Linked DNA regions of Rattus norvegicus. The protein of the gene in region 1 interacts with the protein of each later gene in a biochemical or structural test. Links are inferred from orthologs where the notes say so. Each region holds a gene or a part of one and is shown in the gene's direction. Other genes may lie near its edges. The genes, in order: Hsp90aa1, Cdc37, Usp19, Hif1a, Ahr, Tert and St13.

Region 1 (4,258 bases):
TGTTTGCGTGAGGGTGTCAGAGATTAGAATTACCGTTTTGAGCTGCCACGTGGTCATTGGGAATTGAACCTGGGTCCAGTCTATGCTTTAACCACTGAGCCATCTCTCCAGCCCTTTTCTTTCGAATCTTAATGAGTGATCGTTTTCGTCAGCAGGAAAAGATGCGGAAATAGTGGGTGGGAGTAACATAAAGGAAAGGGAAATGGAAGCCAAACGGAAGTCTATTAAAGCCTGTATTAAACAAGGAAACTATCTTTTGGGTCACGTTAATCGCCCAAAGTAACGTCATGACACCCTAAGAAGGTGCCTCAAAAACCAGGGTAGTGTGTTGTGTATGAGCGTTTTGACTGCGTGTGTCTGTGCACCATGTGTGCTCCTGGTGCCGCAGAGGCCAGAGGGGACTGTATTTTCTGACTGTAGTTACTGGTGCTTGTGAGCTGCCTTAACGTGCGAGTTTGGTATCACTAACTGCTCCTAGCTGACTCTTTAGCCCTTTACACTTATTTTCACATTGTGCGAGTGTGTGTGCGAGTGTGTGTGTGTGTGTGTGCACATGAGTGTCACAGGCGCTGAGGGTTAGCTCCCCACTCCCAACCCCCGCTATCTGGGTGGCAGATATCAAACCCAAGCACCTCTACTGGATGAAGCCATCTTTCTGGGCCCCCGTAATTACAATAAGTTAAGGTAGCACAAATTTGACACTAAAACCCTAACAACGCCCAAGTTTGAGGGTCATGGGTTTTGGTCAAAGAGAAACCCCCAAGCACTATGGACAGATTTGGAAGATCCACCGTGTACTACCCACAGTAAGGCTTCAGGACAGGCTCCAGAGGGGACAGCCCTAAAATTCAGACAGTGGTACCACGCGCCAGACCGCGCAACAAGCAGAACCCGGGCTCGGGATACGCCCCACCCATCAGGTGGAAGCCAGGAGTCAGACTCGCGTCCCGCCGGGAGTCTACGTCCCCAATGGGAGCCCGAAGACAGGGGGATCTTCTCGCCTCAGACACCTAACGCGCCGCAGAGGGCACTGAGGTTCACACAGCAACGCAGCCTCACATGGGAACATCCCTTTCGCAGACCCCACCCCCACCCCCCGAGAAGAGGAGCCCTAGAGTGCTCACATGGCGGCCTCTAGCGCATGCGCTGGTCACCTTGTCCGCGCTCCACGAGAGGCGGCGCGCGCGCGGCCCGGGAAGGCGCCAGGCCCGCCGAGAATCCCGGACTGCGCATGTCCAGAGCACCTGGCTGTGGAGGAGGGGCTCGCGTTCGTTCTCCGCGCGGGTTCTGCGCGCTCCTGGTGGAGGGGCGGGGCCCGTCCAGTGCGCAGGCGCAGGCGCGCGGCCGAGGCGACGGTTGGGGAGGGTTCTTCCGGAAGGTTCGGGAGGCTTCTGGAAAAAGCGCCGCGCGCTGGGCGGGCCCGCCTCTATATAAGGCAGGCGCGGGGGGCGGCGCGCCAGTTGCTTCAGTGTCCCGGTGCGGTTAGTCACGTTTCGTGCGTGCTCATTCTGCCAAGGTGAGTGTCCTCGCAGAGGGGCTTAGTGGGGGATTGGGGAGAGAGGTTGACGGATGTAGACGCGGCGGCGGGGTCGGGGCCGCCATCCGAGCTCCCTCAGCCCGCAGAGGTGGGCGGCCATGCCTTCAGACCCTAGGCCCCAGGCGGCCGCTACGCCCCAGGCCCAGGATGCGGTGATGGCCGCCGAGGAGGAGCGGCGGCGGAGGGTCGGGGGCGAGGCGAACGTTCGGCTCTGGCCTTTGCCTAGGCCTCCCCGGCTCTCGCCGGTGCTCCTGAGGCGCGGGCGGAGGAGGGAGGCGCCATAGCGGCGGCTTGTGGGGGGAGGGTGGCCGTTAGGAACGGCGTGCGTGGAGCCGCTTGGGTCCGAACGTCCTCCCGGAGGCGCGCACATGCGCCTCGTAATTACCGCATTCTGAAATGAGGTCATCCCTTTGTCATCCACCCCCCCCCTCGGCCTCTTCTATTCCGTCCCCGTCTCAGACCGAAATAGAGTTCCTAAGGAATTTCTATAGGAAAGGGGTAGGTAGGCATTAGGACGCCTGCAGACATTCTGTGAGGCTTTAACACCGTCCCGTGTTCCCAGATGCCTGAGGAAACCCAGACCCAAGACCAACCAATGGAGGAAGAGGAGGTCGAAACCTTTGCCTTTCAGGCAGAAATTGCCCAGTTAATGTCCTTGATCATCAACACTTTCTACTCGAACAAAGAGATCTTTCTGAGGGAGCTCATTTCCAACTCCTCAGACGTGAGTATATCACTTGAAGAATTGAATGGATGTTGGTTTCAGTAAAAATTTCACCTTGAGGCTTGTCTGTGTGCGTGACGTTTGTCTTCTCTTAATAGGCTCTGGATAAGATCAGATACGAGAGCTTGACCGACCCTAGTAAACTGGACTCGGGGAAGGAGCTGCACATTAATCTCATTCCCAACAAGCAAGACCGAACCCTCACTATTGTGGATACTGGCATTGGAATGACCAAGGCTGACTTGATCAATAACCTTGGCACTATTGCCAAGTCAGGCACCAAAGCCTTCATGGAGGCTTTGCAGGCTGGTGCAGATATCTCTATGATTGGCCAGTTTGGTGTTGGTTTTTACTCTGCGTATTTGGTTGCTGAGAAAGTGACTGTCATCACCAAGCATAATGATGACGAGCAGTACGCCTGGGAGTCCTCAGCTGGAGGATCCTTCACTGTGAGGACAGACACAGGTAGGCAGAGGCCAGGAGTGCATTCAGAGTGCAGTGGGTGTCTGGTTATTTTAGGTCAAGTGTTTAAGAGGGTTAACTGGGAGAATTGAAGAGTTTGGAGCAGTCTGGGATAGTCTTAGTCCTAAGCCCTCCAACAAAATTGTTAATCTCAAGGGAGCTTCAAGGACTGGGTGGTTGGAGGAAATGTGGAAAACGTATGGCTATTTGCTCAGTAGCAAGGAAGTTAAAGCTCTGGAGACTGCATTTGTGTGGAAAGTTAGCTGCTAGGAAACACTGCACGTTTTTATCTCCGCTCCAACAAGCACTGGGAGAAGACTTTGAATATTAGCCATTTGAATTCATAGTCCATAACCTTTTCTTTTTCAGGTGAACCAATGGGTCGTGGAACAAAGGTTATCTTGCATCTAAAAGAAGACCAAACTGAGTATTTGGAGGAAAGGAGAATAAAAGAAATTGTGAAGAAACATTCTCAGTTTATTGGCTACCCCATTACTCTCTTTGTAAGTTTTTCTTTCAACTGCAGGGTAAATTGATATGATAACTGAGACAACTGAGCATGGTCTTAGCATTCTGTAAATAATAAGCCTGTTTGAAACAAGTTTGGGTCTGTGCTCTGGAGGACTGTTGAGAAATTATAGAAAACACTGATGAGTTTCTTAATTATGGACATTTATTTCTTAGATCTTAAATAATTTGTGACACAGTAATGAAGTGACTTTTTTTTAAGGTGGAGAAGGAACGTGACAAGGAAGTCAGTGATGATGAGGCTGAAGAAAAGGAAGAGAAAGAGGAAGAGAAAGAAAAAGAAGAAAAGGAGTCTGATGACAAGCCTGAAATAGAAGATGTTGGTTCTGATGAAGAAGAAGAAGAGAAGAAGGATGGTGACAAGAAGAAAAAGAAGAAGATAAAGGAAAAGTACATTGATCAAGAAGAACTCAACAAAACAAAGCCGATCTGGACCAGAAATCCTGATGACATTACGAATGAAGAATACGGAGAGTTCTACAAGAGCTTAACCAACGACTGGGAAGAACATTTGGCAGTAAAGGTGAGTGACTTAAAGCAGGTTTTCGGGTTGACTTAACGTTAACCTTTACACCCACTCAACCTATAGAAGTGCTTCTAAGTGTAACATAGCTCAGTGGAAAAGTTGATTCATTTTTGTCCATGGCAGTTAAAGGTATTTCATTTTATTGCAGCATTTTTCTGTTGAAGGACAATTAGAATTCCGGGCTCTTCTTTTTGTCCCAAGACGCGCTCCTTTTGATCTATTTGAAAACAGAAAGAAAAAGAACAACATCAAGTTGTATGTTCGCAGAGTTTTTATCATGGATAACTGTGAGGAGTTAATCCCCGAGTATCTGAGTAAGTACGGATAGAAAGAATAAGCACTATTGGCAGGGGTTTTGCATAACTTGTTTGAGGCCCTGGGCTCAGTCCTCTCGACCAGCCAAAAATGATTCCTTAGTTTTCGGAATGATTAAGGTAGGTGTCTTGTTCTTTTCTTCCACAGATTTCATCAGAGGGGTGGT
Region 2 (4,187 bases), on another chromosome or scaffold:
CTTATTTATTTTTTATTTTACGTGTATTGTGTCTGCATATATACCTGTGTGAGAGTGTCAGATCTCCTGGAGCTGGAGTTACAGACAGATATGAGTTGCTATATGGATACTGGAAATTGAACCAGAGTCCTTTGAAAAAGCAGCCAGTGCTCTTAACTGTTGAGCCATCACTTCAGCACCTAAGATGTAATTTAATTAAATATTTATTTGTTTATTTATTTATTTAGCTAGCCAGGTGGTCCTGCTGTATGCCTTTAGTCCCAGCACTTAATCTTCGGAGAATGAGGCAGTCACAGCTCTGAGTTCAAGGCTATTCTCCTCTATAGAGTGAGTTTGAGGAAAGTCAAGGCTACATAGAGTAACTCTGTCTCAAAACAAACAAACAAACAAACAAATAAATATTTTTTTAAAAATTAAGGGCAGGGCTGGAGAGATGGCTCAGTGGTTAAGAGCACCGACAGCTCTTCCAGAGGTCCTGAGTTCAAATCCCAGCAACCACATGGTGGCTCACAACCATCTGGAATGGGATCTGATGCCCTCTTCTGGTGTGTCTGAAGGCAGCTACAGTGTACTTATATAAATAAATAAATCTTTAAAAAAAAATTAAGGGCAGGTCTGGTGTAGTGGTGCACACCTTTAACCCCAGCATTGGGAAGCAGAAGTAGAAAGATCTGTTCATTTGAAGACAGCCTGGTCTACATAGTGAATTCCAGGACAGCCGGAGCTATACAGTGAGACCCTGTCTGGGGAAAAAAACTATTTAAGGGCAAACATCATTAAAAAAAACTATGCGTATTAATATTTTGCCTGCAAGTATATCTGTGTACCACATGCATGCTCGGTGTGGGTGAAGGCCAGAAGGGGGCGCAATATACCCTGAGATGGACTTACCAGATAGGTACGAGCCGCCATGTAGGTGAGGGAGGACCAGCCAGTTCTCCAAACCATTGAGCCATTTCTCCAGGCTCAATTTTGACTTATTTTTTTTTTAGAATGTTTGTTTGTGTAACAACCCTTACGGTCCTAGAAATCACTCTGTAGACCAGGCTGGCCTGGATCCGCCAGATTGCGTCCCCACTGCCCAGCCAATTTTGACTTTTTGACAGTCTCAATATGTACCCTGGCTGGACTAGAACTTGTAGAGAGCCACCTGTTTTCGCCCCTAGCATACTTGGATTACCGTGGGCCACCACGCCCAACAAGACTAACCTTTTGTCTCTAAAGGATGTTCAGTCTGGTTTCGGCGGGAACTTCCAGAAGGCCGCACCACGTACTCCTGGCCCTTTAAAGATGACCTCCGGTTGCCAATGCCGCCGACTCCCGTTGCTAAGGACGAACGTCATGCGCCGACGCTGGGGCGGGGCCGTCGTGCGCGGCGCCCTGGGCGGAAGCGGAAGGGGCGGGGCGGGGCGAGCGGACTCTCTAGCCCTTGTGGGTCCCTGTTCAGCGCCCGGCCGTGTGGAGACCCGGGAGCCAGTCCGGGCCTCCGAGGCGAAGATGGTGGACTACAGCGTTTGGGATCACATCGAGGTGTCGGACGATGAGGACGAGACGCACCCCAACATAGACACGGCCAGCCTGTTCCGCTGGCGGCACCAGGTGGGGCTGTGCGCGCTCATCCCCTTCCCCCCACTCCCGGGACCCCCCGCTCTAGAGTTCTGACCTCTTAGCCAGGCCGCCTGGCGTGGGGGGCGGGGGAGACCTCAGTTCTTGACATCCAGAGCCTCCTGTTCCACAATCTAGACTTTCCCCCTTTCTTTTCTTTCTTCTTTTTTTAAAAACAAAATCTCACTGGGTAGTCTTGCCTGGCCTGGAACTTGCTATATAGAAGAGGCTGGTTTCTAACTCACGGAGATCCTCTTGCCTCTGCCTTCCCAGTGCTGAGGTTAAAGACATGTGCCATCATGCTGGGCTGGACCTTTTAATCCCAGGACTCCTGGATTCTTCATTCTAATTCTTCATCTGTATCTCCGGGCTTTCTCTCTGTGCTGTGGATCTCTTCTGTTTGTACGTTTACTTATTGTGTGTGTGTTCTTGTGTGCACGTGGCACAGCATGCAAAGGAAGATTACAGGATAACTTGCAGAAGTTGGGCCTCTCTTTTCACTTCGTTGGAACTGGGTGTGGAACTCAGGTCACCCCGAGTTGCCACAAGCACCTGTACACTGAGTCATTTTATCAGCTCTTAATACTCTTTAGTCAGAGTCTAGACCCCACCCCACCTCCGAAGCTGACCCATGTGTGTAGGGTCCCCATCATCCTTTGTGGAACCTTTTGTTCTCAGAATTCTTCCTCAGAGTCTGGACCCAGGTTTTGTTAGGTGATCTCATATCCCAGCCATGCACCCACTTCTGATTGCACATCTCCGTTCTGCCTCTCCCCACCCCCTAGAGTCTGGATCCATAAAACTTCGTTCTGATTGTGGCATCTACTTCCCAGGATCTTAGGCACGAATTTCCATTAAGGCCCAGAGACAACCCCCCGAACCCCCAACCCCCTAACTTCCAAACTAAATGAGGGCTGTGCCCTGCTCTTAATTTAATGGTCAATCTTAGTTTGCAGCTGGGATTCCCAGTCCAGGATCGATTTCCCTGGGTTATAGACCAGAGCTACACTTGGGACTTCAGTGTTAGAGCCCCCTTAGCCTCTCTATTTGACCCCCAGCTCCACTCTTGCCCATCATCCAATTCTAGTGGCTTTCCTTATTTTCACCTCCTGTAGATTCTTATTTCCCCTTACTCCAGGAAACCCCACCCACTTAACTTCCGGTCAGAACCTCTGCTCCTAGTAGTATAGTAAGTAGACCCCCATTCTGCCCACATTGGCTCCTGTATGATTTGTAGCCATCATTGAATACTCACCAAACCGGATGGTGATGACACATACTTTTAATCCCAGCTCTCAGGAAGCAGAGGCAGGCGGGCCTGTGAATTCAAGGCCAGCCTGGTCTACAGAGAGTTCCAGCACAGCTAAATAGGGGTACTCTGTTTGGAGGCATGGAGTCCAGTGGCAGGATAGGACAGAGAAAGAAAGTGGGGGAGGGGAGAAAAGGGGGAAAGGAGAAGGAAAAGACAGCTCACCCAATCCCAACCCAGAAAACCAAACCCTTCCTGTCCTACCTGCCCTTCCTCTCCAGTTTCATTGGCCTCTCGAGGGTTCATATCATTCTATTTAACTCTGCACCTCCTGGATCTTGTTCCAACATTACCTTACTTTCTGAGCATTGTAGCACACCTGTAAACTCAGGTCTTAGGAGGTGGAGGTAGAAGGATCTGGAATTCAGAGTTAATCCTTGCTATAGGGCAAATTCTAGGCTATCCTGGACTACGTGAGACCCTGTCTCAAAAACCAAATGGGCTGGAATTCAGTTGTAAGCATTGCCTTGGGCTCCATCTGGCTTAAAAGCTAGCCATGGTGGGGCAGGCCCGTAGTCTCAGCACTGAGAAGATAGAAGCAGGAGGCTCAGAAGTTCAAAGTCATCAGCCACATAGTAAGTATGAGGCTGGCACGGGCTCAGGGAATCCTGTCGATCACTAGGCAGATAAAATAAAGTCCTACACAGTTTTAAATCTGCCCATAACAGATGCCTTAGACTGAGACCGTCAGATCCCCAAGTGTGAGCAAGCCATGCTCTTCCGCCTCTCTTGTGCCAGCATTGCCTGCAGGCCCATAGTGTACTACCTAGATGTAAGGGTGGTCTGAAGATGTAGTTGAGTGGTAGAGCACTCTCTAGCATGCAGGAGGTCCTGGGTTCCATCTCTAGCACAGCAGTAAAGAGACAGTGGCCTAACCTGCCCCCCAAATTAAAGCATCTGTACCCACATACCTGTGTGTCTTTACTCTGTCTAGGTTACATTGTATTTGTGTATGTTCATGCTCATGTATGTGTAAATGTGCCACGCTACCCTGTCACAGTCAGAGGATAACTTGCTGGAATCCGTTCTCTCCACCCACGTGGGCTCGGGATCAAACTCAGGCCGTCAGGGTTGGTAGCAGGCCTTCACCCACTGAGCTCTCTCATCAGCCCTGTGCTTGTTACACTCCCAGGCTGCTGGCAGGTACTCTGCAGTTAGCATTCCACCTTCCTGAGGAAAGCTTCTCCTCTTTACTCCTCGAAAGTCCTTCCCTATCCTCCCCAAATCCAGCAGTCAGCTCTAGTCCCACCTACACACCTATTCCTTCCAGTTT
Region 3 (3,500 bases), on another chromosome or scaffold:
TTAGATGCTTGTTGTCCTGTTTGGATATTTAGAGATTGGGAAGGAATGTGGACCAGAGTGGGTACAACTTGCTAGACTCATAGCTAATCTCTCTCTCTCTCTTTGTGTGTGTTTGCATGTTTGCATGTTTGTGTGTGTTTAGGTTGAGGCTGAGGAGCAGCTCCATGTTCCACCAGTGAACCCTCAAACAAGTCTCTTGGGCTCAGAGAAGAATTTAGCCCTTTTGACAGTAGAGAAGACAGTGTCCCCCAGGAGTGACTCAGTCTCCCCAGTCATGATCCGGAACAGAGACCCTGAGAAAGATGACCATTTCAAAGAGGAGATGGCAGTTGGAGCTGATCCTGCAGCCTTAGCGGATGGTAACATGGGGACTGGGAAGGCAGGCCCCCAGGTTGGGTCACAGGGTTGATGGGTGGGTAGGGAGTAGTATAGTAACAGGCTGGAATTTGTCTTGGGTTGATGGTACTGAGCCATGGTCTCAACATAGAACCAGAGTCTATGGTGAACCTGGCATTTGTCAAGAATGATTCGTATGAGAAGGGGCCGGATTCAGTGGTGGTGCACGTGTATGTGAAGGAGAGCCGCAGGGATACCTCTCGAGTACTTTTCCGAGAGCAGGACTTCACGCTGATCTTCCAGACCAGGTGTGTGGCTGAGGCTGGGACAGGTACAGCGGTGTGCCTCAGATGGGAGTGTGCTTCAAGCATTTTCCTTTGTTCTTCCTCCTTCCCTGCTCTGCCTCTGCAGGGATGGAAATTTTCTGAGGCTGCATCCGGGCTGTGGGCCCCACACCATCTTCCGCTGGCAGGTGAAGCTCAGGTGGGTGGTGCCCAGCCCTGTTACTGCTTGTCTCACTTGGGTTTCCATCTCTCTGGCTTGTTTAACCTCACCTGCTTCTCCTGAAATCTCTGAACTCAGCTTTTCCTTGACAGGAACTTGATTGAGCCAGAGCAATGTACGTTTTGTTTCACGGCCTCTCGGATCGATATCTGCCTCCGGAAGCGGCAGAGTCAGCGCTGGGGGGGACTGGAGGCCCCTGCTACACGAGGTCTGCACACGAGCTCCCTTCATTGCCTGAGCCCCACATGATTAGGACCCCCTACCACCACCTCACACGTGCTGCTAACCACCAGCCCTCTCATTCCCCCTTTTTAAGGTGCAGTGGGTGGTGCAAAGGTTGCCGTGCCGACAGGTCCAACCCCTTTGGATTCAACCCCTCCAGGAGGTGGCCCCCTCCCTCTGACTGGCCAGGAGGAAGCCAGGGCTGTAGAGAAGGAAAAACCCAAGGCTCGGTCAGAGGACTCGGGGCTGGATGGTGTGGTGGCTCGCACCCCCTTGGAGCATGTTACCCCAAAGCCAGAACCGCACTTGGCCTCGGTGAGAACCCTTGCTTGGGATGGGTCACGAATGAGGCTGGAGAGCACCAGGGCTCCTCTGTCATTTCTCCTTTCTTTGCACAGCCCAAACCCACATGTATGGTGCCTCCAATGCCTCATAGTCCAGTGAGTGGAGATAGTGTGGAGGAGGATGAAGAGGAAGAGAAGAAGGTTTGTCTCCCAGGCTTTACTGGCCTCGTCAACTTAGGGAACACCTGCTTCATGAATAGTGTCATTCAGTCTCTGTCCAACACTCGGGAGCTTCGTGACTTCTTCCACGGTAAGAAGGTCAGGGCCAGGAGACTGGGGCATAGGCAGAAATGGTACCTCTGTCTCTCACACCTCTACTCGGCTGTTCCTAGACCGATCCTTTGAGGCTGAGATTAACTACAATAACCCATTGGGGACTGGTGGGCGTCTGGCTATTGGCTTCGCTGTGCTGCTCCGGGCCCTGTGGAAGGGCACTCACCAAGCCTTTCAACCCTCCAAGCTAAAGGTGATTTGTGCTCACTCCCACCTTGTTTACAGAGGGATGAGAGGGCTAATAAGGTGTCCTGCGAATGAGTGCTAAGATTTCTCACTGACACTTTGGCCTCTTCATCTAGGCCATTGTAGCAAGCAAGGCCAGCCAGTTTACAGGCTACGCACAGCATGATGCCCAAGAGTTCATGGCTTTCTTGTTGGATGGGCTGCATGAAGACCTGAATCGGATCCAAAACAAACCCTACACAGAGACTGTGGACTCAGATGGGCGACCTGACGAGGTCGGTTGGGGGTTGTAGAAAGGGTTTTGTGTGTCCCAGTCCATAGTTCTCCTTAGTTCTCACTATCTTTCCTCAGGTGGTGGCTGAAGAAGCATGGCAGCGGCACAAGATGAGGAACGACTCATTCATTGTGGACCTGTTTCAGGGCCAGTACAAGTCAAAGCTGGTGTGCCCTGTGTGTGCCAAGGTACAGTGGACTCCCCTAGAGAGATGGCCTGTAGTTAGTTGGGCCGGTTTGGCCAGATACTTTGAAGCATGTGTGTTTTTAGAATGCTGGGCAAAATTTGGGGGAGGGAAGTGGGCAGAACCTAAAAGTGCCTTAGGGTCTCTGGTCAGAAGAAATCAGGCGAGGTCGGCTTCGTGACTGAGGTCAGGGGTGTTTGATGCACAGGTGTGGTACAGCAAGGATAAGTAAGGCATGGCATGCCAGTGTTGCCGGTACAGTTGGAAAGGCGCGTGAAGAGCAGGTGAAGGGAACCCTGGGGAAAAGGTTAAGCTGCCAGAAGAGGGGACTCCATCTCTCCTGGTGGGTCCCCTTCCTCAGTCTAGTGCTTTACCACTGAAGTTTGCTGATTGGCTGTGAGAACCCTGAGAGCCACCGGAGAGCCTGGCTTAGGTTCTCCAGGAATGAGCACCTTGACCCTTGTGACCCCCATGTCACCTCTGCATCCGCAGGTCTCCATCACTTTTGACCCGTTCCTTTATCTGCCGGTACCCTTGCCACAAAAGCAAAAGGTTCTCCCCATATATTATTTTGCCAGAGAGCCCCATAGCAAACCCATCAAGGTGAGTAACAATCCCCTCCCTCTGGCTGTCCTTAAAAATAGGACTTCTTATCCGTTCCCCCTTGCTGACTTGACCTTTATTGCCTAAGTTCCTGGTGAGCGTCAGCAAGGAGAACTCCAGCGCAAGCGAAGTTTTGGAGTCCCTCTCTCAGAGTGTCCACGTGAAGCCTGAGAGCCTGCGCCTGGCTGAGGTAGATCTTCCCTCCCAGGCTTCTGTGTGTGGCCATGTGTGATGGTGGGTTTGTTGTTGTTTGTTTTGTTTTTTTAACATTTTCAGTGTTCTGTCTGCTCATCTGTATGTGAGTTTGTAGTATGTTGTGTGCCTGGTGCTAGGAAAGTCTGTTGGACCCACCCCATGGAACTTGAGTTCTAGACGGTTGCAAGCTGCCATGTATTTGCTGGGGATAGGACTGACATCTTCTGGAAGAATGGCCAGTGCTCTTAATGCTGAGCCATTTTTCCAGTCCCACACGTGTCCTCTGTCTTTCCCTGTCTTCTCTGGATGAAGAGTTTGCTAGTAACCCTGGGGACAGAGGATCAGTGCATGACTCATGCTCACGCTTTGTCTCTCCGAT
Region 4 (4,300 bases), about 37 Mb from region 1:
GAAGCCAGGACCTTGTGCATACTAGACCACTGCTCTCCGACTGACTAAGCTAAATCTCCAGCTGTGTCTTCATGGGTCTATTGAGAGGCTTTATACATTGTTTATTGTCTTATTAGACCTGGACACCATTTGTATTTATTGGGGGGCGTTGTTTTTGGATTTGAATGCAATTTAAATCTGCCACAGATGTCTACATTATTATACAACCCAACGTTAGATTGTAACGATGTACTAACAAGGCAAAGAAGAGCTATTAAACAGTCAAGTGTCAGGTCAGTTTCAGAGACCTCAGATTCAGATCTCCAACACGTGTGTGTGTGTGTGTGCGTGTGTGTGTGTACATGTGTGTGTGCACACGCAGGTGCATGCAGTGTTCCTTTGTTGGGCTTGGAATACATTAAAATTAAAAAAAAAAAAACTAACAAACATCATACCCACAGACCTAACATTCATGCTTCCAAAGACCGACCAAAAGTGATTGCTTTAATCCATAGTTCCCAGCACAGCCGGTGAGCAGTCCTGTCAAGGTCTGTAGGTTGGAGGATGCATTCTTCCTTCTTTCAGTCTAAACAGTGAACTTTAATAAACTCAGTCTGAAACAATTCTTGCACCTTTTCTGCATCTATTTAAGATTATCTTTGTCTTTTTTTTTTCAAAGCAACATAATAGCAAAATAAGTCTACTCAATGCTTTTTCCTGCCTTGTCACTCAAATTCAGGCTTGTGCTCTCACTTATTGAAGCTGTTATTTATGTGTAAATTAAGATAGTTTATTTTAAAATGGCCCTGCAACTTCACTCGCCTTGAGAGGTTTTGCAAGAGGGATTTGTTTTATATTTTTATTTGCATTTGCTCAGTAGTCAAACTTTGGCCCAGAAAATCGTTAATGACTTGGAGACTTCCCTTGTTCTGTGGCAGAGAGCAGAGACTGAGCTTCGTCCGGTCACCTGGGAAGGAGAGACCCCACTCTAACAGCAGGGGGCTGGCTGCCAGAACACAAAGTTGGCTGTTTTTGCAACTGGAAACTCAGGAGGGATGGGCGGGGACCCGGTCCAACCACGCAACTAAGGAGTAAGCGAGCCTCAGACAACTCCACAGAGAGCAGGGCAGTGTGAGCACGTTCGGACACAGGCTTAGCATCCCACTTGCTCCAGCAGCGCCTCCCAAGGCCAGACGCAGCTTTCCATTGAAGGCGCAGAGTCCCCAGACCTGGGCTCAGCCGCACCCGTCGGTCGCCCCTTTCTCTTCTCTCCCTAGCTGCACACAGACGAGCACGTGAGCTGGGCAGCTCGCCCCAGCTGGGGCTCAGCTGACCTCCTCCTGATTGGCTGAGAGCAACGTGGGCTGGGGTGGGGCCTGGCCGCCTGCGTCCTTTCCCATTGGCTCTCGGGGAACCCGCCTCCGCTCAGGTGAGGCGGGCCCGCGGGTGCGCGCGTCGGGCTTAGCGGGCGCGCGCAGCCCTTTGCTCCCCTCCCCTCGCCGCGCGCCCGAGCGCGCCTCCGCCCTTGCCCGCCCCCTGCCGCTGCCTCAGCGCCTCAGTGCACAGAGGCTCCTCGTCTGAGGGGACGCGAGGACTGTCCTCGCTACCGTCGCGAGCAGTGTCTGGCCAGGCCTTGACAAGCCAGCCGGAGGAGCAACTAGGAACCCGAACCAGAGCCCGGCGAGCGCAGCCTGCAGCTCCCGCCTCGCCGTCCCGGGGGGGTGTCCCGCCTCACACCCCGCCTCTGGACTTGCCCCTTTCTCTGCGCGTGAGGACAGAGCCGGCGCTTAGGCCGGAGCGAGCCCAGGGGCTGCCGGCCGGGAAGACACCGCGGGCACCGATTCGCCATGGAGGGCGCCGGCGGCGAGAACGAGAAGAAAAAGTAAGCCGGGCCGCCGCGTTCTGTGGGCTGGCCTTTTTTTGTCTCTGCTCCCCTTCCGTCCCCCCCCCAGCCTCACGCGCCGGGCTCCCCCGCGGTCCACGTCGCCATCTTGGCGCGGGGGGTGGGAGTCGCGGGCCCAGCGCTCGGCGGGGCTGGGGTCTCCGCCCCGGACACCCGCCCCGCGCCTTCGCAGCCCAGCCTGCCCCGCGCGCTCATCCGGCCGAGCCGGCCCCGGCCGAGTACGCCCCTAGCTCCCGCGCCTTCCCGCCCCGGACCTCCGCGTTTGCCGCGAGCACCGGGCCCCGGGCGGACCCTGTGCGCGCTGCCAGCTTCCTGGGGTCGAGGCCCTCCGAGGCCGACCCCGGGCTCCCCGGAGCCGCCTCGTTGTACCGCGGCCGCCGCTGCCTTTGTAGGTTAGGGAGTTTCTTCGGGGGGCCGGAAGATGCTAACTTTCTAGTTTGCACGTGCAGGTTTTGTTGGAAACACTTGCCACCATCAGAGTAACGGGAATTTAGGAAAATGGCATCATTTTAAATAACTTACAGTTCCTACAAACTTGTGTTTGCATCACCTGTCAGGAGAGCCCAGACGTTATGTATGAATATGAGTATGCCTCGTTCACTCCTGAAAATAACTTACCGATAGTTTCGGTTAAACTTAGGCCGATAATTTAATGAGATGGGGTGGGGGGTGTATATAATGAAAGCAAATGAAAACCAGCAGTTAGAATGTTGCAAGTTTATTGGAACACCTGCAAAGAATTGTATCCAAAAAAACATACATCCGAAGTGAGAAATCGTGTGTGAGAACTCAGTGTAAGTTTATGAAACATCCTGTGGTTTGAGTCTGAGAACATTATAGGCTTACGAGTGCAGCTAGTAGTGGTAAGATCGATCCCTGCCGCCAGCACACAGTTTTGTCTACTTCGATATTTTAACCTTGAGAAAATCAGTTTAAGAAGTTGAAGGTTTGTTGTAAGAGCTGTGGTTACAAGGCTGGCTTAATTCTTAAGTCCTTCCAGTCTTCTGGAAGAGATTAATTCCCCTTATCCATATCCGCAGAAGAGATAAATGTACTCATTTTCTTGCTCTTCTGTACATCCCTTCCTTGCCTTGGTCTTTATTCCATAGAACGTCCAGGTCTTGGATGCACCAAAGAAAGCACTTTGAAAATGTTTTAAAGTGAGCATGCAAGTCTAGACTTAACTCCAGGAGTTACCAGAATTAGTTGCAATTAATTTCGCAGAAGTGACTACAATGCTTTTGATGAAATGATGGGCTGCTATTCTCTAAACCTTAGGCAGATTGCCATTGTGTACTTACTGTCCTTATTAAATGCTGAATTATATTATATTAATACACTATACCAAGTAATACACCAATCATGTCTCTTTCATATACACTGTTTGTGTGTGTGTATGTGTGTGTGTGTGTATTTAATCAAAAGTAGTCTTACAATGGATAAGTAAGTTAATTGTGCATCGGGTCCAGTTCTAAATGGTTTTTAGGTTTTCCTCAGAACCATCTGTTAATTTAATTTTTCTTGTTTGAGATGTTAGCAGCTTTAGATCAGATGGGATTATATTTCTTAATATAGAGGTTCTTAATATCACTAAAAGATAATAAACATGAGTGATGGGTCACTCAACACTTAGGTGCTATGTATTAAGTATGTCTTTTTGTAATCATAATTTTGTTGAAAGATTGAGAGGTAAAATTTTTCTTTCTCCAATTAGTCCATCTTAAATGAGCCTCCAAAGTGAACAGGTGGGAAAGAATTTTGCTTTTTTAATAGAGAGTATAGAAAACTCAAATCTCAAAGATTTGGAAGAAAGCAGAACAGAAAGTGAATAATAGATTTAACAGTCGGTATGTGCTGTGTCTGACTCCTTAGCTGTTGGTACTGAACTTGATTGACCTAATATGTATATGGATTCTTAGATTTCAAGAGAATGTCAAGCTCATTCTGTTTCTAGCTTGTAGCTGAACTTTCAAATCCCTCCCCCCAAATAGTTATTGGGTCACTAAAATAAAATCTCTTAAAGATGTTTCTTAATTTCTCCTTTTAGCGTTGGTCACTAAAAATCAAGAAGTTTATTAATAAAATTTTTATTATAATTTAGCTTTCCTCCTTGTTTGAGGAATCAGTAGTCTACTGATTTAGATAGAGGATACAGATAGATAACCACAAGTTGGAGTCCCAAGCCTTTCCACTTGTGATTGTTGGCAAGTTACTGAATACTTGTGGATTATATACCCCCCCTCCCAAGAGGATAATACTAGCCTTCTGAAAATAAGATAATGCATTTAAAAACCTTAGGCCAGCACATGGTTTGTAACACATTATATACTTGAACATGGGTGTTAACTGTTATAGTTCAGACTTTCATAATCTTCAAACCTTTCTTCTGTGCCTTCATGCATTTTTTTTCTTATATTC
Region 5 (3,500 bases), about 78 Mb from region 1:
CCAAGGATATCAACCCAATATGGCATAAGAAATTGCAATAAGACTAGGCACAAACCCTCACTCCTATCAAGGCTGAACAAGACAACCCAGTAGGAGGAAAAGGATCTCAAATGCAGACAAAAGACTCAGAGACACCCTCATTCACTATTAGGAGTCCCACAAGAACAGCAAGCTACACAACCATAAAGTATATGCAAAGGTCCCAGCTCAGACCCATCTAGGGCACATGCTTGTTGCTTCAGTCTCTGTGAGCCCCTGCGAGTCCTTCATTGATTCCATGGTTAGTGTTCTCATGGTGTCTTTGACCCGTTGGCTTCTACAATCCTCCCGGTTTTCTTCAGAGTTCCCCTGGCCTCACCTAGTGTTTGGCTCGTCTAGCTTTTTTGGCCAAGACTCCTGAGTGCGTGTCACTCCACTGTAGAAAACTTGATTTTCTTTCTCCCAGCAGCTATCAAGTACAATAGCTTCTTAGCTAGAGGTTAGATTTCACGTTGACCTCCTCTCCTCCCTTGCTAGGGCTTTGTCTGGCTTGACCTTTCCTAGGACTTGTGCACATTGTCACAGTCTCTGTGGGATGTTAGTCCCCTGCCCTGTTATGCCTGAAGTCATCCACTGTCTTTGGCTCTTAGGATATGTCCCTTCTTTCACATAGATCCCTGAGCCATGAGGGGAAGGATGTGTTATAAACATCCCAACCAGGGTTGAACACACTTCTTATTCTCCGTCTTTTTGCTGTATGTTTGCCAGTCGCGGGTGTGTCTGTTAATGGCTATCTCCTACAGAAAGAAGCTTCTGTGGTGAGAGTTGAGCAATGCACTTATCTGTGGGTGTAGCAATAAGTCATTAGGAGTCATTTTATTACTATGTCCATTTAAGAGTATAATAGTAACAGGTTTTCCCCTAGGGTCCTATCTAGCCACAGGTTCTTGGGCTCATTCATGGTGTCAGGTCCAGGCTCCATCTCATAGAGCAGGTCTGAAATCCAATCAAAGAGAGAATATCAGTGGTTCTGTATTGAGGTCATAAAAGTACCTGTAATAACAGCATAGTTAATCTTACTTAGTCTGCGTGAGAAGACTAAGTAAAATCTTTAGGGAGAATCAAGGAAGTAGAAATTTGAGAATCTGTGATTACCAATATGTAAATGATTAACTAGGCAAGTGACTAGACATCATACTTTCTAAATCCAAACGCATGTTTTCCAGTAGTTTTTCTAGGTGAAATTTGCCTAAAAATGATTTTTTTACTTAAAGGCTTTTTCGGTATGAAAATGCTTCAATTGTACAACTCAGCAGTTTTAGTATATTTTTGCATGAATGTTACAGATTTCTTTGTATTTTTGGTGGTATTATTATCTGACACTTATTTCATAATTGTGCTAGTGAGAAAAGCTGGCTCGCAGTGTAGTGGAGGGGTTTATTGGGAAACTCTTCGTGTTTCGTGGGTAGAGCAACCCTTGAGCAGATGTTTTAATGTAATAGATACTTTTGCTCTGTGTTTTCTAAAGGCTTTTCTTTGTGTTTCAGAGTAAAGCCCGTCCCTGCTGAAGGAATTAAGTCGAACCCTTCTAAACGACACAGAGACCGGCTGAACACAGAGTTAGACCGCCTGGCTAGCCTGCTGCCCTTCCCACAAGATGTTATTAGTAAGCTGGACAAACTCTCCGTTCTAAGGCTCAGCGTCAGCTACCTGAGGGCCAAGAGCTTCTTTGATGGTATGTCGGCACGGTTGACTTTTATAGCAGTAACTCACAGTATGCTAATGTCAAATATGGTCCTTAATATTGGTGACAATAAAAAACTGTCCATGAGCGCAAACGTCTTTCTTGTCTTAGAAAATAATGGAGTGACAAAGCTAAATGTATAACTGTTATTAACTCTCTCTCCTGTCTCATTCACCAGACAAATAGAGCCATTTGGATGATACATAGTAACATTCTTTATAAGTCATGTGTTTAAAAGTTATACTCAGGTTTCATTTTTAAAAAGAAATCATAAAGTACTGTGATTGGGGGTGGGGCTGGCTCAGTGGACAAGAGAGGATTTGGTGTGTAAACATGAAGAGCTGAGTTCATATCTCCAGTGCCCACTTAACGCGTTGCCTGGCTTGACTCTAACGGTAGCACTGTGGGAAATAGAGACAGGGCTCTGGGCCTGCTGGCTGCCAGCTTTGTGGGTTCAGTGGGAATGAGGCAGGATGATAGGGATGGACACACAAAACCTTACTCTGTCTCTCTCTGACACACACACACACACACACACACACACACACTTCTCTGACATACATATATACTGTCCTTCTCCCTCTTCTTCCCCTTCTCTGTCTCTTTCTCACATACACATACATACACTTCCTCTCCCTCTGTCACGCACGCACATACACATACACCTGCTCTTTCTTTGACATTCCTCCCGCCCCCCTGTGCTCTTACCGTCTCTCCCTCCTCTCCCCTGTCTCCTGTCTCCTCTCCCCTCTCTCTCTGACACACACGAATTAACACCCGCCCGCCCACGCTGCCTCATAGGAGTAGTAATGTATTGTTCCTGTACTTTCTGTATGGAATTCATGGAGTCTTTCAAAGTTATACGGACTGCTACAGCTTTATGTTAATGTATGTTAGCATCAAGGAAATGTGGTTAAAATGGTTTATGATCAGAAAGAACACTTGAATATGGTTGGACAGTGTTGGATTTCATTCTGCACAGTGCCACCGTGTGACTTTAGTCGTGCCGGGGAGCACCCTGTGCTTCAGCTGTGAACGCACTGAGGGTGGCTGTGGGGCTGTGTGGCCGAGTGCTGCTTATTACATATGAATTTCCAGCATCGATCACTACGGAATCTCTAAAACGGAGTTCCTATTTGAAATTACTGTTCTGACATATTTTGTCATACAAAATAACTCCTTAATTATCTCTTACATGAGTTCTGGGGATTTGAACTAAAGACATCCTCCTTAAATAACAAGGAATCTTCCTCGCTAAGCCATTTCCCAAGTGCCTTATTTTTTTTTCTTTTTAAGTCCATAAATCAAAAGTTAATTATTAAGGATCGTATTCCTTCACAAATTGTAGCAAATGGATTAATGCCAAGATCTCAAACTGCTGTGCACCTAGGCATCATGGTGAGATGCAGAAGTTCCCCCTTCTGCAGACTCAGATGATGCTAATGGTAGCATCCGAGTCACCAGGCAGCCCCTGCTCATCTCTGTGTCTTAGAGGACTGTGTAGAAAGTCATTCCTCTTGGATTTATGTTTGTATGAGTTGATGTGTTTGAGTTGAGCATGGTTGTATATTTTCTTGCCACGTGTAATTTTTAACAATAGCATTCTGTCAGGGCACACAGACACCTAGAACCGTGATTTCATGTGGTGTGCAGTGTACATGAAATCTCACAGCAGTGATTTAATTTAGTTCGTAGTGTGCACTGACTCCTAAAGCCGTCATTCCGTGTGGTTTAGGATGTACACTGAGTTCTACAGTAGTAATTCCGTGTGGTGTAT
Region 6 (2,778 bases), on another chromosome or scaffold:
TGGAGACCGGCGCCCTGGGAGGTGCAGCCCCGCACCAGCTGCCTGCTCACTGCCTGTTTCCCTGGTGTGGCTTACTGCTGGACACTCGGACTTTGGAAGTATTCTGTGACTACTCAGGGTAAGCACACAGGGGAGTCATGAGGTCATGGGAGCAGACGGTGCTGTGGCTACGACTTTCTGTTTCCTGCTTTTAGACACAAGTGACCGTGAGGCCTGAAGTGATAGAGGCCGAAAGGTGTTTCCCTCCTTTGTGGAGATGGTCACGGCCAATATAAGAACATCTTCAGCCTTGTCCCAAGGCTCCTGCAGACCATGGAGCCAAGATGTTCCTCTATATGAAGTATAAGGGGCGGGGAGGGGGTGGGTGTTGGTCTCCACCTACCAAGAGCTCACAACCCAGATTGTAGCTCAATGTAGATATGACAGATTTGGGATAGGCACAGGTGAAAAGAGTTGGACCATTTCTTCTTATGAGTGAAGAGTATGAAGATTCTGACATTACGGCAGGAGCCTGGCAACCCACCATCTTGACAGCTGTCCATTCTATGCTCAGACTCCCCATCTCCATTGTGTTCTTTGGAGGGTCCCATTCTAAGGGAAGGGTTGGGTGCAGATAAGCCGTCTGTACCGTGCTCTCGCAGGCCTGGGCTCCTCAGCCTCAGTCCATGGGACTCAGTTCAGATTTCTTGACTCCACCCTCTGCCTCCCAGACCCACCTTTGTTGCCCCAGCCCCAGCCTAGTGCTGAGCTCGCCAGTGTACCTGCCCCAGCCCCTGGTACTCTTCAGTGTTACAGAGTCATGGGTAAATCAATCGAAGAAGAATTCCCCTCTGAACATACTGCTAGAGTCTGAAAACCACACACCCTTATAGGAAGCCAGGCGGGCCCTGGACAGGGGCCATTAGCGACCATATGTAGACCATAAGGGCCCTGTTTCCAGAGTCCATGTTAAGTGTGGCTGTGAGCTCAGCCTGAGCTTTTGGTGTGGGTGCATCAGCCGAGCTCAGTATCCTTCTGCCGGAGCCAGGGACAATGCATCTGGAGGTCAGCCAAAGTGGCTAGCAACATCCTAAAGGGAAAACACAGTGATGGGAGTTTCTTCTCCCCAAACCACAGCTTTCATGCAAAGTGTGAAGAGAGCTGACAGCACCGTGGAGTGTCACGGAGTGGGAAACCTCTTCCTCCACCCACACGCACAGGCATGCACCTCACACATGCACAAAAAGTAAGAAACCTGACAGAGGTAACCATACCCGTCACTTGTATTCATCTTTGAGGATGATGCCAAGTCACTGGACAACAAGAAGGCACCACCCCATCATTCTGTCCTGCACGCGTCCATCCGTCGTCCCAGAGTGACCAACTCTGCAGGTGGTTTGACACCGCTGTAGGCACTCCCTTACTGTTTCCTGTCACCAAGATCTGGCTGGAGACAATCCTCCACTCCAGTCATAGCCCTGTGCTGGGAAGGTGCTCTGTCAGGCTGCAGCCACTTAAAGAAGCACAGGGTTTGCGACTTCCTGTAAGATTCACAGTTCTTTCTGAATTTTCACAGCTCTCTTTGCCACCTGTGAGCAAAGATGTCTGGTAATCCCAAGCTCAGATAAAATGGATGTTGTTCACTACATGGTTGGGCTTGGTTGTCCAGGGCTTCTAGTGGCGCTATAAGCAAGTACCAAAAGCTGGAATGGGCCCCATGTCTGAAGGTCCTACCCCATCTAAGCCTGCGGCGTGTGGCAGAGACGAGAGGAGGAAGGGCAGTGGTGCTGGTTTCTCAGGACGAGCTAGTGCAGCTATCACACAGGATACCTTTGTGCCGCAGTTACGGACGGACCTCAATTAAGATGAGCCTCACCTTCCAGGGTGTCTCCAGGGCCGGGAAGACCATGCGGTACAAGCTCTTGTCAGTCTTGCGGTTGAAGTGTCATGGTCTGTTTCTAGACTTGCAGGTAAGCAGACAGGCAGCCACCTCATCGGTTGGATCTTAGTATAGGTCCTGTTCTTCTGTGTGGGGGGACACGTTCATGGATATGCATGTGTGTGCACAGGCGTGAGCCGTGTATGTGGGGAGCACGTAGGAAGGTGGATGTGCACTGAAGAGACCGAAGAGCCTTGAGCACTTACCGTGCTCATCTCCGTCACTTTTCAGTACTGACATCCAGCTTCCCTGGATCCTGACCTTGGCTTTGGAGTCTTAGGCCTCAGCTCTCTCCTGCTTCCTCCCCATGGGGGCCTGGCTCGATTTTCTGTTTTCCCCACACGTGGCTTTCTTATCCTACTTGACAACACAGAAAATATTCATTTGTGATCTCGGGGACATTGCTGACGCTTCTCTTACCCTTGACTCCAGGTGAACAGCCTGCAGACAGTCTGCATCAATATATACAAGATCTTCCTGCTTCAGGCCTACAGGTGAGTCAGCGGCCGTGCCGCCACTAGAGGGAGGCACAGGCCAGAAATGCCAGTCATGCTGTTTGCTGGGGCTCTCAAGCTCAAGGCTGTTTGCTCCCCCAGATTGGGTGGCATGCTGAAATGCGGTCAGGAAAAAGCAGCATTTAGTTGAGTCTCCACACAGGCCCGTATTTGTAGGGTAAGAACCTCTTGTGGTCTGCCTGTGCTGGGAGCACATGTAACCTTGTGTGCTGACCAGAATGGTCTTGAGACAGGAGGGGATGTTGGCATAGAAGCCCCCAAGAAAGCCCCTCAGAAGAAATAGGATGGGAAAGGGGAGCAGGGAGATTCAGAGTCCCAGAAAGCAGAGAACCCAGTCTTACACCA
Region 7 (3,500 bases), on another chromosome or scaffold:
ATATTCAGTAGCGCACAGAAGCCCATACATAAGTCCAGCTCTAAGGGATCAAATATCATCTTCTGCCCTTTGTGGGCACTCTCTAACATGTTCACATACATTTATACAAACACAGAGAGAGACAGATAAATAATGGTAACTGTGAAAGAAGCTTAATTTCTTATTGGCTTAAATGTCTCTATTTTTGTTCCTTTAAACAGTATTTCTCAAAAAGAGAAAACTGTAGTTTTCATATCCTGTGAAATTAGTTTTGACACTTTATCCTCTTTAAGCTTAGTCTGTCAAGTAAAACTGAGTCCCATAACATCAATCTACATTTGTTTTTAAGTTTTTCAAGGCAGGGTTTCCATGTGTAGCTCTGGCTGTCCTGGAACTCACTCTGTAGACTAGGCTGGCCTCAAACTTAGAGATCCACCTGCCTCTGCCTATCAACAAGTGCTAGAAAACACCGTGTGCCACCACTCCCTGGCTATGTTTTAGATTTTTAAAAGGTTTATTTCTTAAGTGTGTGAGTGTTTTTGCCTGCATGCATGTATGATCCTTGTAGGTCAGAACAGAACATCAGATCTCCTGGAACTGGTTACAAATGGTTGTAAGTTACCTTGTGGGTACTGGGTATTCTGTAAGAGAAATAAGATTCCTAGCTATTGTCGCAGCTCTTGTTTATTTACCTTTTGCTTGGTGGTAGGGTACACACACAGTGTACGTGTAGAGGTACGTGGACAGCTTTCAGAAGTTCATTCTCTTACCAAGTGGTTTTTAGGGGTGGGGCCATAGTCCAGATTTCCTAGGACTAATTGTGTGTGTAGCCTAGGCTGAGGATTGCCTCTAATGTTCAGTTCTCGGATTTTTGCTGCTTGGGTGCTGGTTTACAGATGTGCATCATATTGCTTTATCTTTTTTTTTTAAATACTTTTAAATTTTTTATGTTTATGGGTACTTTGCCAACGTGTACTTGTTGTATGCCTATTGCCATGGAGGCGAGAAGGCATAAGAGCTGGAACTTGGGTTATAGACATTGGGTTATAGATGGTTGGTTGTGAGCCAGTGTATGGGTGCTGGAAGGTGGACCTGGGACTTCTGGAATAGTAGTCAGTGCTTTTACCCACTGAGGAACCTCTCTAGCCCTTTATTTAAAAATGTTAACATGCTGGCTACTGACCATGCTTGGTGGGAAGCACTGTCACTGCGCCATGTCTCCTATGAAGTAGACTGAGAAGTGATAAGTCTTAATTAGAGAAGTCAAAGTATTTTATTAAATCTTTGTCTTCTGGACAGTTTCTTAGTAAGTTTAATTTCACTTCAGGTGAGCTCCAGAAAGCCATTGACTTGTTCACAGACGCCATCAAGCTAAACCCTCGCTTGGCCATTCTGTATGCCAAGAGAGCCAGGTAAGAACACTGAAGTACACGTTTCTTTTGTATAAATCTCAAAGGTTTTATTGTTTGAAATGAAGTTTTTCTTAATAATTACTATTTTTATTTTATTTTATTTTTTAGTGTTTTCGTCAAATTACAGAAGCCAAATGCTGCCATCCGAGACTGTGACAGAGCTATTGAAATAAACCCTGATTCAGCTCAGCCATACAAATGGAGAGGGAAAGCGCACAGGTAAATGAACAAATACTGCTGAGAAAGCTGAGTTTGACCGGTAGAACCCAGGAGTAAAACACTGGTATGGCCAGGTAGTGGTGGCACACACCTTTAATCCCAGCAGCGTTGGACAGGCAGATCTCTGTTAGTTTGAGACCAGCCTGGAGTCTAGAGAGCCCAAGACAACAGAGAAAAACCCTGCCTTAATGTATTACCAATTGCTGGGGGTGGTGCTATGGAGGCTGGAAACAGATCAGTGAGTTTCTAACATCTATGGTGAATTATAGGGCAGCATCCAGAAACAGGTTGATTGACTGCACCTGAGAAATGGTTCTTGAGACTGTATACACACAAACACACACACACACACACACACACACACACACACACACACACACAGAGGCACAAAGTAGTCAAGTTTAAGAGGTTTTTCAAAACTTAATTTAAAATCTATTTTAATATGCCTTTTTCAGATTTTACCTAAGTGCTTTTATTTCAAAGTAATGGGTTCAGTATGAAGAATTAAGAAAAGGAACATGAAAAGATTTTACTCCCTTCCACATAAAACTACTCAACATTATCAAGTCACATAGGCACATACAAGACAACCTGGTTTCCTTTTACCCAAAAGAATACAAGAAGAGATACTGAATACCCTAGCCTGAAGTGCCTTTATTCATTACTGGGACGTTTAAAAAAATCTAATAATCGCTATAGGGTTGGAACTTATTGTTTCGTGTTTGTCTTAGGGAAATCCAATGATTGAGGTGGATTGAGAAGATATAGATGAAGTTTGAGTAGAAATAAGAATGGATGTTTTTGGGGTTGGGGATTTAGCTCAGTGGTAGAGCGCTTGCCTAGGAAGCGCAAGGCCCTGGGTTCGGTCCCCAGCTCTGAAAAATAGAACCAAAAAAAAAAAAAAAAAAAAAAAGAATGGATGTTTTTAACAAAACTGTATTAGGTGACTCATAGTAGTGACTTTTTATGAAGGCATGTCAAAGAGAAAGGTAAAAGGTTCAAATAAGGGCTGGAGAGATGGCTCAGAGGTTAAAAGTACTATCTGCTCTTCCAAAGATCCTGAGTTCAGTTCCCAGCAACCACATGGTGGCTCACAACCAACTATAATGGGATCCGATGCCCTCTTATGTGTCTGAAGACAGCTACAGCGTACTCATATACATAAAATAAATAAATCTTTTTAAAAAAGGGTTCAAGTAAAATGTATTGCTGCTGTGTGGTTATAGAAAAAGCTCACACAATATTGTTGCTTCCTTTGAAATCAGTCACTAGTCTTCAGATGGCATTTTGCTTTCTGGTTACAGATTTCAAATAAGCTATTTTTTAAAGAAACTATAGTTCATTTTGTGGACACTAAAATTTGTGTGGTTGGGCATACTTTTCTGCTTCTTTTCTTCTTTACTGTCATATCAGTGAACACAACCAAGGAACAATACCTTTCTTTATACATTCATGATTTGAATGAAAAACTTATAATTGAGTTTATGCCAAGATTTTCAATTAAAAATTGTTTGCCTTTTAACTGTATCCTTATTTAATTTTGGAAACATACCAGATAAGTGATAGTATTTCAGTTAGCATAGCATACCCTCCAAGTAAACTGTGAAGGTTTTCTTTGCTGTCAGGATTGTCCTTAAGAATGTATCCCATTTAAAATATGTGGCTAAAACAAGATATTAGAAAGATGATTTTAGTTTTTATACGTGTGAGTGTAGGGTTTGTGCTACCATTTTCATTACACTTACCTTGGGTGGTGGCAGGATTCCATGTCATGGTGTACATATTCTCCACACCATTTTCTTTCTTTGTTTTGGATGAGGTTGAGGGGTTACCGAGACAGGGTTTCTCTGTGTAGCCCTGGCTGTCTGGAACTCACTCTGTAGACCAGGC

Evidence for each region.
Region 2: the proteins of Hsp90aa1 (region 1) and Cdc37 form a complex in vitro, tested with the Homo sapiens proteins (3 studies listed by BioGRID, with this or other methods). The link is inferred for Rattus norvegicus from reciprocal best matches to the Homo sapiens genes HSP90AA1 and CDC37.
Region 3: the proteins of Hsp90aa1 (region 1) and Usp19 form a complex in vitro, tested with the Homo sapiens proteins (3 studies listed by BioGRID). The link is inferred for Rattus norvegicus from reciprocal best matches to the Homo sapiens genes HSP90AA1 and USP19.
Region 4: the proteins of Hsp90aa1 (region 1) and Hif1a form a complex in vitro, tested with the Homo sapiens proteins (4 studies listed by BioGRID and IntAct, with this or other methods). The link is inferred for Rattus norvegicus from reciprocal best matches to the Homo sapiens genes HSP90AA1 and HIF1A.
Region 5: the proteins of Hsp90aa1 (region 1) and Ahr form a complex in vitro, tested with the Homo sapiens proteins (2 studies listed by BioGRID). The link is inferred for Rattus norvegicus from reciprocal best matches to the Homo sapiens genes HSP90AA1 and AHR.
Region 6: the proteins of Hsp90aa1 (region 1) and Tert form a complex in vitro, tested with the Homo sapiens proteins (2 studies listed by BioGRID). The link is inferred for Rattus norvegicus from reciprocal best matches to the Homo sapiens genes HSP90AA1 and TERT.
Region 7: the proteins of Hsp90aa1 (region 1) and St13 form a complex in vitro, tested with the Homo sapiens proteins (2 studies listed by BioGRID). The link is inferred for Rattus norvegicus from reciprocal best matches to the Homo sapiens genes HSP90AA1 and ST13.

What each region holds. Positions count from the first base shown.
Region 1 is NC_086024.1:135,526,341-135,530,598, reverse strand, and holds the start of Hsp90aa1 (heat shock protein HSP 90-alpha), read left to right. Parts: upstream 1-1,458; 5' UTR 1,459-1,516; intron 1,517-2,099; coding exon 2,100-2,261; intron 2,262-2,359; coding exon 2,360-2,726; intron 2,727-3,092; coding exon 3,093-3,226; intron 3,227-3,453; coding exon 3,454-3,774; intron 3,775-3,925; coding exon 3,926-4,091; intron 4,092-4,239; coding exon 4,240-4,258. UniProt on the Homo sapiens protein: Molecular chaperone that promotes the maturation, structural maintenance and proper regulation of specific target proteins involved for instance in cell cycle control and signal transduction.
Region 2 is NC_086026.1:27,964,131-27,968,317, reverse strand, and holds the start of Cdc37 (hsp90 co-chaperone Cdc37), read left to right. Parts: upstream 1-1,387; 5' UTR 1,388-1,497; coding exon 1,498-1,599; intron 1,600-4,187. UniProt on the Homo sapiens protein: Co-chaperone that binds to numerous kinases and promotes their interaction with the Hsp90 complex, resulting in stabilization and promotion of their activity. Inhibits HSP90AA1 ATPase activity.
Region 3 is NC_086026.1:118,072,227-118,075,726, forward strand, and holds part of Usp19 (ubiquitin carboxyl-terminal hydrolase 19), read left to right. Parts: intron 1-142; coding exon 143-359; intron 360-487; coding exon 488-644; intron 645-747; coding exon 748-819; intron 820-932; coding exon 933-1,048; intron 1,049-1,156; coding exon 1,157-1,377; intron 1,378-1,460; coding exon 1,461-1,656; intron 1,657-1,738; coding exon 1,739-1,872; intron 1,873-1,981; coding exon 1,982-2,140; intron 2,141-2,216; coding exon 2,217-2,327; intron 2,328-2,815; coding exon 2,816-2,926; intron 2,927-3,014; coding exon 3,015-3,116; intron 3,117-3,500. UniProt on the Homo sapiens protein: Deubiquitinating enzyme that regulates the degradation of various proteins by removing ubiquitin moieties, thereby preventing their proteasomal degradation. Stabilizes RNF123, which promotes CDKN1B degradation and contributes to cell proliferation.
Region 4 is NC_086024.1:98,358,398-98,362,697, forward strand, and holds the start of Hif1a (hypoxia-inducible factor 1-alpha), read left to right. Parts: upstream 1-1,500; 5' UTR 1,501-1,826; coding exon 1,827-1,861; intron 1,862-4,300.
Region 5 is NC_086024.1:57,988,902-57,992,401, reverse strand, and holds part of Ahr (aryl hydrocarbon receptor), read left to right. Parts: intron 1-1,526; coding exon 1,527-1,714; intron 1,715-3,500. UniProt on the Homo sapiens protein: Ligand-activated transcription factor that enables cells to adapt to changing conditions by sensing compounds from the environment, diet, microbiome and cellular metabolism, and which plays important roles in development, immunity and cancer.
Region 6 is NC_086019.1:31,468,334-31,471,111, reverse strand, and holds part of Tert (telomerase reverse transcriptase), read left to right. Parts: coding exon 1-118; intron 119-1,822; coding exon 1,823-1,949; intron 1,950-2,350; coding exon 2,351-2,412; intron 2,413-2,778. UniProt on the Homo sapiens protein: Telomerase is a ribonucleoprotein enzyme essential for the replication of chromosome termini in most eukaryotes. Active in progenitor and cancer cells. Inactive, or very low activity, in normal somatic cells.
Region 7 is NC_086025.1:114,781,878-114,785,377, reverse strand, and holds part of St13 (hsc70-interacting protein), read left to right. Parts: intron 1-1,306; coding exon 1,307-1,391; intron 1,392-1,499; coding exon 1,500-1,610; intron 1,611-3,500. UniProt on the Homo sapiens protein: One HIP oligomer binds the ATPase domains of at least two HSC70 molecules dependent on activation of the HSC70 ATPase by HSP40. Stabilizes the ADP state of HSC70 that has a high affinity for substrate protein.